Linked DNA regions of Lepisosteus oculatus. The protein of the gene in region 1 purifies or fractionates together with the protein of each later gene. This does not show direct contact. Links are inferred from orthologs where the notes say so. Each region holds a gene or a part of one and is shown in the gene's direction. Other genes may lie near its edges.

What was found. Proteins that work in one complex are often made in the same cells at the same time.
Region 2: the proteins of sin3b (region 1) and arid4b purify together in Homo sapiens (affinity purification with mass spectrometry; 3 studies listed by BioGRID and IntAct, with this or other methods). This does not show direct contact. The link is inferred for Lepisosteus oculatus from reciprocal best matches to the Homo sapiens genes SIN3B and ARID4B.

What each region holds. Positions count from the first base shown.
Region 1 is NC_090724.1:101,607-108,759, forward strand, and holds the start of sin3b (paired amphipathic helix protein Sin3b), read left to right. Parts: upstream 1-4,150; 5' UTR 4,151-4,427; coding exon 4,428-4,535; intron 4,536-4,573; exon of another isoform or gene 4,574-4,598; coding exon of another isoform or gene 4,599-4,607; intron 4,608-6,642; coding exon 6,643-6,749; intron 6,750-7,153.
Region 2 is NC_090712.1:6,399,090-6,406,646, forward strand, and holds the start of arid4b (AT-rich interactive domain-containing protein 4B), read left to right. Parts: upstream 1-4,541; 5' UTR 4,542-5,007; intron 5,008-5,462; exon of another isoform or gene 5,463-5,965; intron 5,966-6,123; exon of another isoform or gene 6,124-6,198; intron 6,199-7,557. UniProt on the Homo sapiens protein: Acts as a transcriptional repressor. May function in the assembly and/or enzymatic activity of the Sin3A corepressor complex or in mediating interactions between the complex and other regulatory complexes.

The sequences.
Region 1 (7,153 bases):
TAGAGCTGAAATCAAATGAAAACATGTGAACCCACACACCATACATCCTTAGTTTAAGCTCCAATAATTCATTTGGTTACTCTTGTCTGGACTAATTTAAGAGCGGCAATACTACTTTCATGACATGACCAAAATTGTACACAATATTCTAAATGTAGTTGTGCTAGTGCATTGTACACTACAGTACCTCCCTTTTTTACTTTTAACACTTTTACTATATGATTTCCTTTCTGAAAGCTTTGCATGGTATGTGTTAGCACTACACCAAAATGCTTCTGTGCAACAGGAAGACACTGATGTCTGTGAATTTTTTTTCTCTCATTTTCTTGATTTGATTCCATTCAAACTTTTATTCATTCCAAAGAGGCAATGTAAGCAGCAGGCAGTGCAAATACAACACATTCCAAATAAAACTGCTAAAGAACATATTTCTGTTATAATTTGTTTCTTTACCGTGAGTTTATGTTTAACCCCTAAACAGTTGTAATTTTAATGAGCACTTTTTACATTTCCTTTTTTTAGCTGTAATACGAATCTGAGCAGTAGTCAGTTTACTTCAAATTCAAACAGGTAAATTACAGTGTTGTTAAAGCATATACAGGACAGTCAATACAACATCTACAGATGTTACAAAAAATTAGAAAGCCTTTCTCCCTATTCAAAAAATCCACCAAGCATGAAAGGCCTTTTTTAACCAAGGTATTCTTCACTCAGGAAATCCAAATTCCTTAATACAGAATAGCAAGCTCTCTTTAGCAAGGTTCAAATACTTAGCTTCAATCGAGTCTTTTCAGATTATCTCAAATAAAGGAACTGTTTGACAGGAGCTCAGATGGCTGAGACTTTAAGTCCTCTCCTCCTGTCTTCTCCCTTGTGGTCTTTTCTTTTCTGTTATTCTTTTCACTGTCTTGATCTGATCTTATTTGGTGTCTTTCTGGACTGTCGATTGACAATCGAGAATTTAATTAACTAAAACCAGAAGATTCTTTTGATCAGTGTTTCTCACACCCAGAACAACCAAGTAAAAATCCCTTAGTTTGAAGCTCTAGTAAATTGGAATATTGACACTAGTTATTACCCATTGTGTCAAGATTCTTAGAGAGACCTCCATTGTAATCTACCACAGCCAGTAGCAATTCAAATACTGTACATCATAGGAGATTTACATACAACATATAACACTTAGAACATTACAGGGAAACAGGCTCACTGCTCCTCAGGCTGTGACAGGAGATCACCTACTGTGCTACGAGCTCAGTTGAGTTCCCTCATCCCTCTCCAAATAGGATTGGGAGCTGTTCTGATTCAGGCAGGTGTGAGAATTCTGAGATTTATTTTGGGGAACAATGTTTGTCTAATCCCAGAATATTTCTCCCAGTCCAGTAGGATGTGCATGTCTGCCTCTGTTTCTCCCTGCTGGCAGTGGAAGCACAGCCTGTCCTCTCTGGGCAGCCAGGTCTGCCTGTCACCCAGTTTCTATGGCCAGATTGTGGTCATTGAGCCTGTACTTTGTCAGGGTCTTTTTATCTTTGCTGTTTCTAACCCTGTTCAAAAATTCGGCTAGTGAGTTTTGTCTGTTTGGTAATATAACACATCATTGGCCTCTTCACACTGAGTATGCAATGACATATTGTCTACTGTACATGTTCACTAATTATTGTGATTAATGTACGCTCATTGTGGAACAAACTGGATGAACTGCAACTCAATTATCAACAAGGGTAAAGGAATCTGTTGTAGCTTTTACAGAGATGTGGCTAAAAAACCAAGTCTCTAACCAGGACTTGTTTATTGATGGTTTTGAATCTCTAATCCACCTTGATATAAATAAAGACAGTACCAGTGAGGAGAGAAGGGAATGGTGTTTGTCTGTACATTAATTAGAAGTGGTGTAAAACTGCAGTAGTGCAAGAGGAGCTCTGCGTATCAGATCAAGAGGTTTTGGTTGTTGCTCTTCACCCAAACTACTTACCTTGTGAATTCCTGCAACATTTTTGTGTTAGTGTATATCCATCCTTGCGTCAATGCAGAAAAGGCAGCTGAATATATTGTCAGTGTTAATAATAAATTCTGTCTCTGCCGATGCCCCTAATTTTATTTTAAGTAATTTTATTCATTAATTTATTCATTTTATTCACTTACTTGCTAATTGAAAAGCTTCATCCAGCTCTTTAGGTACATACTATTTTATATAAACACAAATTTTGTGGCGACCTAAACCAACAGATACTGGTCCTCAAAGACCAGTATTGGACACATTTGCTATATTCTTATCAAAGCTTTTCTAACCTTTTTGTCCTCTGGCCTCAACAAAGGTGTTTGATTCTGACACCATATAATTTACCAGCAGTCCCTCATTAATCAAACTTCTAGCATGGCTTTACACGTGTTATGTATGAGATGTATAGTCCCATAACACCTGGAAGGTGATACAAAAGGCTTGATTTTATTCCCCAATTTAACAATCCAGGTATGTGGCCACTGTACTTCAGACAAACCTACTCTACTTGCCATCATTGTCCTCAAATCTATCCACCCATGTGCCTTTTTTTCCAGGAAGTTTTCTTTGGGTGAGCAAAATTATAACCTTGGCGACAAGAAAATTTGGCAGTTAAGCCTGTCCTTGATGAATAGAGACACTTGATGGATGGGCAACTCAACATTTCATGGTTTTACTTTGCCTACACAGAAGGAGCCAAACGACTTAACAGACACAGGTGGTTTATCTAGTGTGCCATCATGCTACAGAGCCAAGATAATCCCAACTAGACAACTTCACCCTCTGTCTGTTCCTATCTGTCCTTGGTCCCTGATCTCTGCCACTTTTATCACAGCTTTCAGTGCTAGTTTTCTTTTTGCTTTCCAATTGGCTACAAACCCTGTCTGATTCCTGACTATTACTTGGATTGCACTTTACCTATAACTACCTGCGTGATTGTTGCTTGCTCTGCCTTGCACCTGAGTTCACTGCACTGCCGTGTTATACTAAGAGTCACTGGTAACTGTCACACACATTACCATTTTTAAATGTGTTCCAAGGCTTTTTTAACATTTGAAAAATATTTGATTTCTTCAAACCTTTTTTTTCTAAATACTGTTTCAACAAACTATAAAACCAGTCTGGTCAGGCACTCACATTTGAAGAAATATTTATTTAGACACCTTTATCTTGTCTGTCTAACCAGTCTATTTATCTTATCTAGTATGTGAAGTGTGAAGTGGCAGGAAATAACAAAAATCAAAGGATATCACAAAAATGTCAAAACTCACTGCAATTTCAAGTGGCTTGTAATTTATCTAACTCTGCATATTAACCTTCATTTCTGTCTCAGACCATCAATATCTGTGTGTATGTACTCTTTGTAAGCATGTCAGTGTAAATGTATACTAAATGTATACATCTCCCATGTATCAGTGCCACTGTGTATCATCTCCTCTTTAGGTTTCTCATGTCACTGAACTGAGTGGCGATTAGAACATTCACAAGCTGTAAAATAATCCACACAGACAAATTTCATACCATGTACCATGTACTAATACTTGTAGTATATGAGTGTACTACCAGTGCAGAGAACCTTTGAGAACAGCCATATTCGCACATAACCAAGTACATCCATCTATGTCTGTAGATCTGAGTATCATTGGCATACAAATGATGATTTAGATGACGCAATCTTTATAGCTTACCAAGTAGTAATATATAGATGAGAGTTACTCAGTCCAGAACACACAAAGAACAAACCAGAACAGAACAGTACACAAAAAGGCATGTGTGAAAGTACCAGAACAATAAACTTAGATTGTTGGCTTTATAATTCATGTTAATCTCATCAACTCAAGAGCAAATTGCTGAAACTTAAAGCAAAAATGAGTTTTGACTTTGCTGTCCCAATATGTTTTAAAGGCTGTTTATAAGTGAAGGTGTGTGCTGTACGTAACTAAAAGTGGATAAAATTGGGTTACAAAAAATATGGAATTTATGCAAGCAATTACTCCTCTTTGCTTATACCGTCCAGGGAGCGGGGGATCGTAATATTTTTTTTACAGTACATATGACGCCAACGTCTCAGCTGACAAGTTCCAGAGGAAAGTGGCAAAACTTCACACATGCGCAGAAAGCGCCGAGCGCGGGAATGCTTTTGCTCTGCGCAGGCGCGCTGGGTCTTTTTTTCTGTTTCCGGACGCCAAGTCTGCACCCCGCCGCCGAATTTAAAGAGACAGAATTATTTTTTTATTATCCCCTTTTAGCTTTGGGGCGATTCTCTGAGTATTCGTTGTCTTACTCTTCGATGTTTCAGTCGATTTTAAACGTGAGTTGTATATCTGTCAGTGTGTACTAACAATGGCGTTTTAAATAGCTGGGACCCTCCGCCCCCCTCCTTCTCCTCACTCGCAGGCCAAGATATTTTCTGAGGAATTAGGGGACAATGGCGAAAATTCGAGCTCATAACAACATGCCGCAAATCAAACACATCCAGGACAAGGCCTATGTAGTGCAGAAACAAGTCCAGCAACAACACTTTCAGAAACTGAAGGTAAGAAAAACAGAAAATGTCTTCTTGCTGTTTGTTCAGCGATGTGGTCAGCCTGCGAGATGCATGATTCGGGTGAGCAAACGCAGCTGAGCGAGATCTTTCCCAGAAGATAACTAATATAACTAGCAATAGTGAGATGTGTAGTGGATTATTAAAAACTAGTCAAAAATCAAACGGAGCCGTTTTTTTAACTGTATTTTCGTTTCTTCTACAATTCTTTTTACGGTACTTTCTTTGTTAAATGGATCCTACAGAGCTGTGTGTCTTTTCCCCCATATATTCATTCCTACGGGCTGACGAGACAAAAGGTGCTTCTGTTTAAATGAAATGCAATGGAGATCTTATACACAGTGCAGATTTGGTTATAGTAACTGATGCAGATTGCTCACTAGGCTTTGCTGTCGACCTGGAGAGGGTTTGTGAGCACACTTCAAAACGGTCACGTTTCTTCGCCACTGTGCATCACTTTATGTACATTGGTTGTAATTGTTTTTTTTTAATCAATTGCACTGAAGTTTAAAACTTTGGAAGGAAAATTATGTAAAGGAAATGCTCGGGTTGAAAAATTTGCCAAGCTTTTCTGTAACTGTGTTTTTGTCACATTTTGTTCTACTGTATTGTCTCGATAACTCTGGGATACAAACCATTAGGGTAATAACACTCACTTCTGCTAAGAGGTATCTTCTTCAAGTCTTTTTCAGGTTTATACTGCGATTTTCTTTTCTGATCTTTGTTGTAATGGAGAAAATATAATCCCACAGTAATAGCCAGTATAGCATGCTCTCTCTTTTTTAATTCTTAAATAAAAAGAAAAAGGTTACTAATACGCTCTAGAGACAATTACCGCATTGACGTGTATTTTAAAGGAAGGATGTTCAGGGATATCTAGGCATTAAAAAACAATTTAGAATTGAGAATGACCTGTGTTGAAGCAATGCTGTTATTTCAAATCAGATCCCGATGGTTTTCATTTGCTCTTGCATTTATCGTCAGACGTTCAGAGAACTGACTGGTCTGGATTATAGGATCTCTTGCACTGACAAAAAAGGGCCAACGTGGGCTAGGGTTTTAGCCCAGATGGAAAAAAAAAAAACTTTTCACTTTGTATTTTACAATTGCATATTATTCGCCTTATGTTATTTTCCAGTTTGCCCATAAAAGGTATATCTTTGATCAGATAAAAAGGTGATGTGTTAAATGCCATCAACTTGAGCAGTTTCACGTGAATTCCATCAATATAGGTCATTCTCAATTCTAATGGTCTAGTGGCTATCCTATCGCATAGTATTGGAGACTGGTAAAAAAAAAAAAAGAGTGTTTTTTGACCCAGTGCTGTGCCAGGCTTGAAGGATCAATAAGCAGAATTGCTAGTCATGATGAGAAGAGCAACTGTGCAGCCAGTGAGCCTACAGCTTCTGCAACAATGGGACATGGCCACCAAATCTGTTATTTTCACAAACATTTTCCTGCACTTCCAACATTTTTTAATTGAGTTATGAAGTGATTCGCTCCATCATTATGTTTTATTGCAAGGACTGATGACATTGGTGTACTGTGTGCAGGGGGATATGTTTCTATTCAGATTTTAGTAGGAGCTGATAGGAAGATGAGCACTTAATTTTGTTCTTAAAAACATTTCTGAAGGATTTGACATAAGGTTAAATCATGTTGTAAATGTATAATTAAAATAATCTTTTTATCTTTTTGTAAAATTAGATTAGTGTAAAATAAACTATTTTGACAAATGATTAAATGTGAACTTAAACATTTCTGTATTGCCTGAATGCAGGATGTTTACAATATTTAGTTTTTTGCTGCTTCTGTCAGCATTTTCTATGCTTATTGTTAAAAGGGTAATGGTTAAATTGTTATTACCTTGTGTATAATAATTATTGTGTTAGTTTCCACATTTCTGTATCTCATGACATATTTTAAAACAGTTTTTCTAAATTGTTCATTTAAAAACAAATCTAAATATTTGTTTTGAAAACTACTGTCATCAGCATTAACTGGAAGTGGTGTCAGAAAGTTTAAGTAATTTAACCTAATGGGTCTTTTGGGGGGAAAAAAATGAAAGTTGAAATGAGATTTTGCTTTCTAATTTTAGGTTGAAGATGCCTTATCATATCTGGACCAAGTTAAAATTCGGTTTGGTAATGATCCTGGGATATACAACAAATTTCTGGATATAATGAAAGAATTCAAATCACAAAGGTAAGCAAGTAATGTTTTTTGATTCCATCATTGCTATAGCAGTATATGATCTTTAGATCAATTTGATCAAAATTCTCTTTATTGGTCAGGCCCCAGGTAGGAGGCACTGTAGACTTGGCTGCTTAGTTAATTGAATATTTCCGCTGTTTAATTTGGCAAAAAAACCCATCATGCTCAGGAAAAGCAAGTGCCAGTTAGTTCACCTGAGCTTGTGTACTTTGTACATTTTCCCTTATTGTGTGGAAGATAAAAATATTCAAAGCTATTATAAGAAAAATCGTCTGGCAATCTGTGGCATGATGGGTCACCTGTTTGATTCATAGACTGGTTAAAAGAGTTATATTAAAGCATTCACATAACGTTTGACGTGAAGTTCTTGAATGAGCAGTAGACAAAGTGGTTTA
Region 2 (7,557 bases), on another chromosome or scaffold:
TTGCTTGATTAAAAAAACATTTAAATAACACCGCGACACCCAAAACGGTTTAAGCCACCGGTCATTGTAACGTTCTCCGGTCTGTCCCCAATCCAGAAGGAAAAGCCACATCTAAAAAAAAAAACCAAGTAAAGTTACACTCGATTACATCTAGAGCAAGTAAGTGAACCACAAGATGCTGCAGTACAGCCAAGTATGTCACCGGACCCGTTTACCGAAGGCGGTAATAGACTGTCAGACTGCACTGGGAGCAGAGCAGTCACGAGTTAATCTTGATTTACGTTTACTCCTTGATCAAAAACTACAAACAAAAACAAAAACCAGCGACTCCTCTATATGTATGTGAAGCCACAACAGAATATTTAAAGGCCTAAATACCAACGCATAACTTCCCTAAAAAAATACAATAGATGATGAAGCCTTTTAATGACTGCAATCCAAAAGCATAGGAGGCAGATAAAACTGAACTAATGTTTCACATTTAGAAGCTTTTACTGTTACCACTTATCCGTTATCAAACCTGAACTCTCAGAGGGAGGCCTGCAGCAACTGCAAGTTTGATTTGTAGTCATAAAACTGAACAGCACGCAGTTAACGGTGTTAATGGTAGGTATTAACACTAAGCAATTAGTAGCGTTTTTTTAATAGCATGTGTATTTCATATTAAAAAAGCAGTTTTTTTTTTAACAGATTCATCCCTTTTCCAATGGCTTCATCTAATTCAGAGCCACTGGGGAGCCCGAGACTATCCCGTCAAGCAACAGGCGAAAGACGGGATACACCCTGGGTGGGACGTCAGTCCATTGCAGGGCAGACGCAGAAACACACATGCTCACCATGGGCAATTCTGCCAGAAGCCAATTAACCTGCAAGTTAAGTTAATCTGGACTTTTTGGACTGTGGGAGGTATCCAGAGGACCTACACGAACATAGGGAGAACATACAAACTCCACACAGACAGCACCACAGAATTGAACCCAGGGCCCCAGCACTGCAGGGCAACAATGCCAACCACTGCTCCACCGTGTTTAAATACGGTATCACTCTCCCCCAAATCAAAAGAATGTTAATTAAGACACCAAGAAGCCAGACAATGGCACAGACTCCTACCTGACCTTTTTAAACACCAATACTGTAGCCTTGCTTTCGAAACGCAAAAGAAATAAAATGTATGACAAACAGGAAGGCAAAGTCGAATCAGTGCAACAACAGACTCAGATCAGGAAATGAAAGGCAGCACTAGTCTTGTTACCTGTATCAGTGATAGCTGCTTCAGTTACTGCTGCCACTGTGCACAACAGCTTAGCTAACACATGCGGTGTTATTGTAGCACGCGAGGTCAGCACATGATTCGTGTCGCGGCTGCACAGAACAACAACGCACTTGTGCCCATTTTCTCTATTTCTGCCTCTCGGGGGGAATCGTGATCTGTAACATGACAGCTTAGATCAAACCATTCCACTTCCAGCACAGCGCGTCTGCTCGTTTCAAAACTGAGCGATCTGGCAGGGAAAAAAATATTTAAAAAAAACGCTCTTTGTTCAGCGATCACCTGTAACGAAGCTGCAACAAAACCCACTTCTGCAAATTAGCATTTCAAAAATGCCTGCGTGCACTCTGCACATCGGCAACCGTTTAATTAGCAGTTCTGCTGGAGCAGTTTCAGCTACAGAATCAAAGTCGCAAAATCGTCTAATTTCATTCAGAGTACGAACACTACTTTTGTAACATGAGAAAAACAAATATTGGGAGTTCAGTCTGTATGACCGCTCCCAGGTGCGCAAAAGACTGCATTATCCAGTATTCACACATTTAAAACCCTTTGTGAATCTCCTACAGCTCTAAGGAAATCAGGTGCCCTCACTCAGCATGCTGGTTTCTTTCACAAAGAGCATTCACTAGATGGATAACTCTGCAAAAGAAACGAACACTTGCATCACTTGGGAAAACGGTTTCTCTAGCCTGTATGACGTTTTCCCACCCCCGCCCGACTTTGAAACCCAAAAAGGGTCACTCGCAAAGACGCCGATTTATACGGGCAGCAGCAGCAGCCGGCACTGCGCCGACCACACGGAGCAAAGAGACTGCTCAAACTCAGACCCACGAAGCTCCACGGCCAGGAGCTCACCAGCGGAGTGCCAGCGCGAGGGAGCTCAACACGGTGGCGCGCCATTCTTCCACGGCAACCCCCCGAGAGCTGGATAGCACGGATGTAGGTCAGAGCGATGGTTCTAGAATTCTGCAGGTAACTGCAGAAAACAGTCAAGGGATGCAACACGAGACTGAGATGGAGGAGAGAAACAAGTTAATGAGACACACGAGTACCTGAATCTTTGCCCACCCCTACAGAAGTGGGAAAGGACATTTGAAGTCACATCCTTAAGTAAGTGACTCAGAGGCTCATTATACTTACACACGACCCAGCCCGCTGACCCAGTTTCCCCCCACACAGTTTCGTATAACTGGGAATTTTAACCAATTAGACCTTTTGCAATTTCTTTTTCAGGGTATTCAACATTCGAAGCCCCGCTGTGCCTTGCTTCCACAGTAAACGCAGTAGGGCAAAGATTTTTCAGAAACGTAAACAGCAAGTCTAACAACCGGATTCTCTGGCAAGTTTCCTTCTTCTACCAAATTTAAAGGTTCTAGAAGCTTGTATGTTATGTAATTACAAATCCTCCAAGCGCCTCAAACATGGTGGAACAAACTTTCCATTGATGTAGTATTTCATTACAGAATGAGGGACGAATTAAGTTAAGTAAAAGGTGTGCTAGGCGTTAAGATTTGCCCAGACTTACAAAGCATTTAGATAAGACAGGAAAACATTAAACACCGAATTGACAAAGCCGCAACCAGCTTGTCTACCCAACAGCACTTCGATGAAAAAAATTGTAATCCTATAATATTACCTGCATGTGCATCATTTACACAAAACATAAATACAGTTGTACACAGCAAAATGCAGAGACCAAAAATAGCCCAAGGCAGTGGTCCAGTCATGAGTGCCAGTGAGTCTGCAGGTTTTCATGCCACTTAGTTCTTATTGGCCTCTGTCAATTGCTGATGTCTTAAACTAGTCCAATTATCACCTCTCCCAGCTCCTCGACTATTACTTCTTTAGGAGAAAACCTACAGAGACACTGCAGGACCAGAGCAGAATACCGTTGGCCTACACATCTATCTGAAGTTCCAGTTAAAATGTTAATGTAACATTAAATAATTAAGGTTTGATGATCTCTTTTCAAGGCTGTGTAAGCCAGATTGGATACTGCTAAATTTATACCACAAGAGTTCTTTGGAAAAAATAGGAGTATGTAATATCAAAGGAGACAACTTACCTAAACCTTTTCAGTATTGGTTAAACTACTTTATACAGTATACTGTACGACACTGCTCAAACCAACGTAATGAAAGTCTTTTTTATTAAGCGCAGGTAATAAAAGTATGTTCCATGTTTTGCGTTTGCAGTTTTTCTAAAAGCAAGTACACAATACCTCACCCGGGAGATTAATACGGCTGTACACAACTCTAGAATGGGAAGAGTTTATACCCGCATTCCTCGTAAATCGCCTACTGTCATACACCAGAATTACTGTATCCGTCCGCTTAAAAAACCTGGTTATTAAAATAGCCAGACCCAGCTACAACTCAGCAGCATTTCTTGAAATACACAAGAGGGTGATCATTCAGTAACAGGATTTATCCTCACTAAAAAAGACCTACAGATCCTTCACAATTCCATTTTTAGATCTGGGGGGGAGACAGCTTCTAGGGAATTATTCCCCCTGTGCCATAAAAACGCGAAGAGACGTCAGCTTTACTTTTCGTGACTAACACACACGCAAGGTGTCATCATGTGACTCGCTTTGACAGATGACACGAGTGCAACTACATCAGTACTGCAGAGTAATTCCCTTACATCACTGCCTAGATGTAAGGAGAGAGGATTATCCTCTACAGAGCATGCATGCAACTGCTGTAAAAGTGAAAAACAGACCGTGCCTGAAAGGCTGGATTTATGTGCAATAACGTAGCCCCAGAGGCTTTATGATGAATCAAGTAGAAAAAAAAAGAGCACCTTAACGTTAGTTTTTTTTCCCCCAAGGCGCAGGCGGCCTCACCAACTCTCACAACAGGCAGTATTTTTTTTTTGCTGTTGATGTCAAGAGCACATCGACGAAGCTCCACCTACCTGGTTGGTCAGCAATTTGCAATCCGGGTCACTTTTTTTTTCCTCCCCCACGTCCGCTCGCAACCTTCCCTTTTATTAATTTATCACGGCATCCAAATATTTCTTACGCGTCGAAAACCCCACTTAAGAGGGGGAAGATCGTTGAGCCCCTCCTTTGTTACCGCACTTGACTTACAAAACGACCTAAAACACCTTACCCTGCCTCGTAATTTAAGAGCCAAGCCTACTCCTTGCTCATCCGCATTCACAGCAAGCTATATACGCCATCGCTTCTCCACCGAGCAAGCGCATAATGGCCGGGGAGGGGGGGGGGGGACGGATATTTTCTGCACGTTGCAAAGCTTTCTGGGAGTTGTTGTTCGGAGCGCCCGATGATCGTCATCTGAAACACTAGTGTTGTGTACTGCAGATTACTCTTTTGAGAACTACATATCCCAAGCGCTCCCAACTCTTTGTTACCATAGTACCGTTAGAAAATAACGTCATTTTCTTGGCAAGACCGACCAATGGTAGTCGGTAGGGGGCGGACACTAGCAGCAGATAGCCAATCATAAAGCTTGACAGTCATCGAGGGCGTTTCTTAGGGGAGTCCGTCAGTCTGTTTCAGAAGGAGAGGAGCACACAGAAAGAGTCCTACAGAAGGAGCGATTGTGTCGGATACGCATCCCGGGGCTGGTGGGGGGGAAGAAAAAAAAAAAGACTACAAAAATAACCGTCAAGTCCGTTTGCTCTTGCTTTTCGATGAGCTCATGGAGGATTAAATTACTGCACCAGCAAGAAGAGAGGATAAAAAAATCGAAAACTGGACTTCCTCGGTAAGGAATAAACAGATCGCGTGAAGTTTGTTTGCTGCCCATTCTTTTTTTTCCCCTAAAAAAAGATGCAGATCATTTGGGCACTTGCTGATTTTCTTTCCTAACGCCGGGGGGACAGACTAGGGAAATCTTAGACTAGGAAAACTGGAGGTGAGGTGGGGGGTGGAGTGGAAAAGACCAGCGTTGTCCGTAGTGAGCGCTGTCGACCCTGCTGCTTAGCCAGTCCAGAAACAAATCTATCAATTATTTGCATTCGCTCGTCTTATTCTTTCGCCTGTCAGCTTTAGCTGGCTTGAAGGTGTGTGAGTTACACTCGGCTATGGAGGAATGTATCTCCACCACCACCCCCCACCAAAAAAAAACCCCGATCATGCAGAAAGGAGTTTCTTGACGCGAGGCATCGGATCTGATTTTTTTTTGGTGGGGAAGAGGGGGAAAAAAAAGCCGTGTCTTACATAAGTGAGCTCCTCGGATTCTGCAGACAGCGATGAAATTGCCCCGAAACCGACTTCCTTTCCTCCAGAGACGACTTGCTGTCGCCCAGCGATCGAGTCTCCTCTGACTCTGGATGTCTCCATTAGTTGGCTTTTACGGTCGCGTAGGTCGCCTGCCTGTATTCCCGATCTTTTTTCTCTGTGGTTTTTTTTTCCTTGCTCCTGCTGCTGTTGTTGCTGTTGCTGCTGCTGCTCCAGTCTTCCACCCCATCGGTCACGTTTAATTAATATTTTTTTTCCCCTCCCTGCTCCCCTCTTTTATACTACAACCCGCAGCCGTGCTCGCCAGAACAGAAACAAAATCTTATTAAAGCCCGGACTGACGTGGGAGGGGGGGGGGAGGCGAAAGAGAGAAAAATAAACGACCAGGAGTAGAACATATTTTTAAATCGTTGCAATAAAGCAACTAGCGGAGCGGTTGGGAGGTTTGCGGAGGGGGGGTGAGAAATGAGACTAGGCTCAGCGTTGTTTTCGACAGCTGATTTTCAAGCACAGTCCAGCCGTGAGCACTCTCCCCCAGAAACACACACACACACTCTCTCGCCAGCAGTAACGACTGGATTACATTAAGCGGGGTGACATTGTAGTGCCTGGTTTGTCGGATTTAATGGTTGCTGCTCGTCCGCAGTCGGTCCCCGGCTGCTCCTCCGTCTCTCGAAGTCGGTGAAGACGACGGCGGCGGCGGCGGTGAGGGGAGGTCGGTTTAGGTTTTTGAGCCCGTGTCACTTTGTTTAGTTTAGCCTTGTTCATGGTGGGTTTTGTTGTTGTTGTTGTTGTTGTTTCTTTAAAAAACAAAATCCTCGTTTGCCGTTTCACGCCGTGGGAGAGGCGTCGGGGTTGTAGTTTGGGGAGTCAGCGAAAATGTGCAACCGAAACAGCCTCGGACAGAGGAGCCCTCTCTCTCTCCCTCCCTCGTCTGCGTTTGAACGCGGAAATCGCTCGATGGGTTTTTGTCCGCCGCTCTGTGTGTGTACTTCGGTGCGTTTTGGCAGCCTCTTGGGTTGGCAAATCAAAGTTAACGATTTCAGATTTCACGGAGACCCTACAAAAGAAACCAGCCCGTCTGTCCCCTCCCTCCCCCTCCTCCTCTTCCTCCTCCTCCTCCTCCTCCGGTCCCTTTCCTAACCTCACCAGCCCTCCGATCTGATGATGTGTATCACGCTGTGCTGCTCGGAGAGAGTGCCAACAGGGGATTCCTGAAAAAAAAAATCGACTTAAAAAATCCCCCCACACACACGCTTGCTGGCTTTTATCGAGCTGCTACAGCTGTAGTGTTATTTTTTTGTTGTTGTTGTTATTATTATCGTCACCATCATCATCCGCAGGTTGCGCGAGTGAGGTTGTTATTCCGTTGAGAAACTGTCAGTTGGTTGAGACAAAAAGACAGTACACCTCGACTGACGGGGGAGAAATAAGAGAAGGGCGATATGGATTAATTTTATTTCTCGCTGTCTTTCACTTGGCGTTGTTATGACGGATTTTTTTGTGTGTGCGTCTTTCTCTACCGTACTAGTGTCGTGTTGTTGGCGAAATGTGTTTCTGCTGTGATACAGAAATGGCGTCATCCACTTAGCTGCCTGCACTGATACACACACACACAGCAGACATTACTCCCCGTCCTCAACCCGTGTCAAAATAGTTCTTCTTTTTCATTTTATCCCTCCTTTTCTCTCTCTCCTTGCCCTCCTCGATCGCGTCTGTAACCGAGCCGTTTGGAAATGACGCCGAAAACCGAAAGTTAAAAAAAAAAAGCTGCCGTATTCTTTTTGTTTGTCTTGCTCATTCATTTTTATTTCAGGGACAGTGGGAGCCCCGTCTGGTTTCGAAATCGGTTTAAATTGTTTCGCGGACAGGAGTGAAAAATAAAAAAATAATGATCGCGTTGAAATTGAGCGTCAAACGTCACGACCTATTTTTCTGTACAAATGTCCCCCGTTCTCTGTACTTTTAGGAGATTTAATAGTGCTAGTTTAAATGAACATTTCTTATTTTGGCACACGTGAACTTCCGTTCTCGTACAGCTGCTGTGTTTGGTAGGATAGCGTCGTGGAGAGAA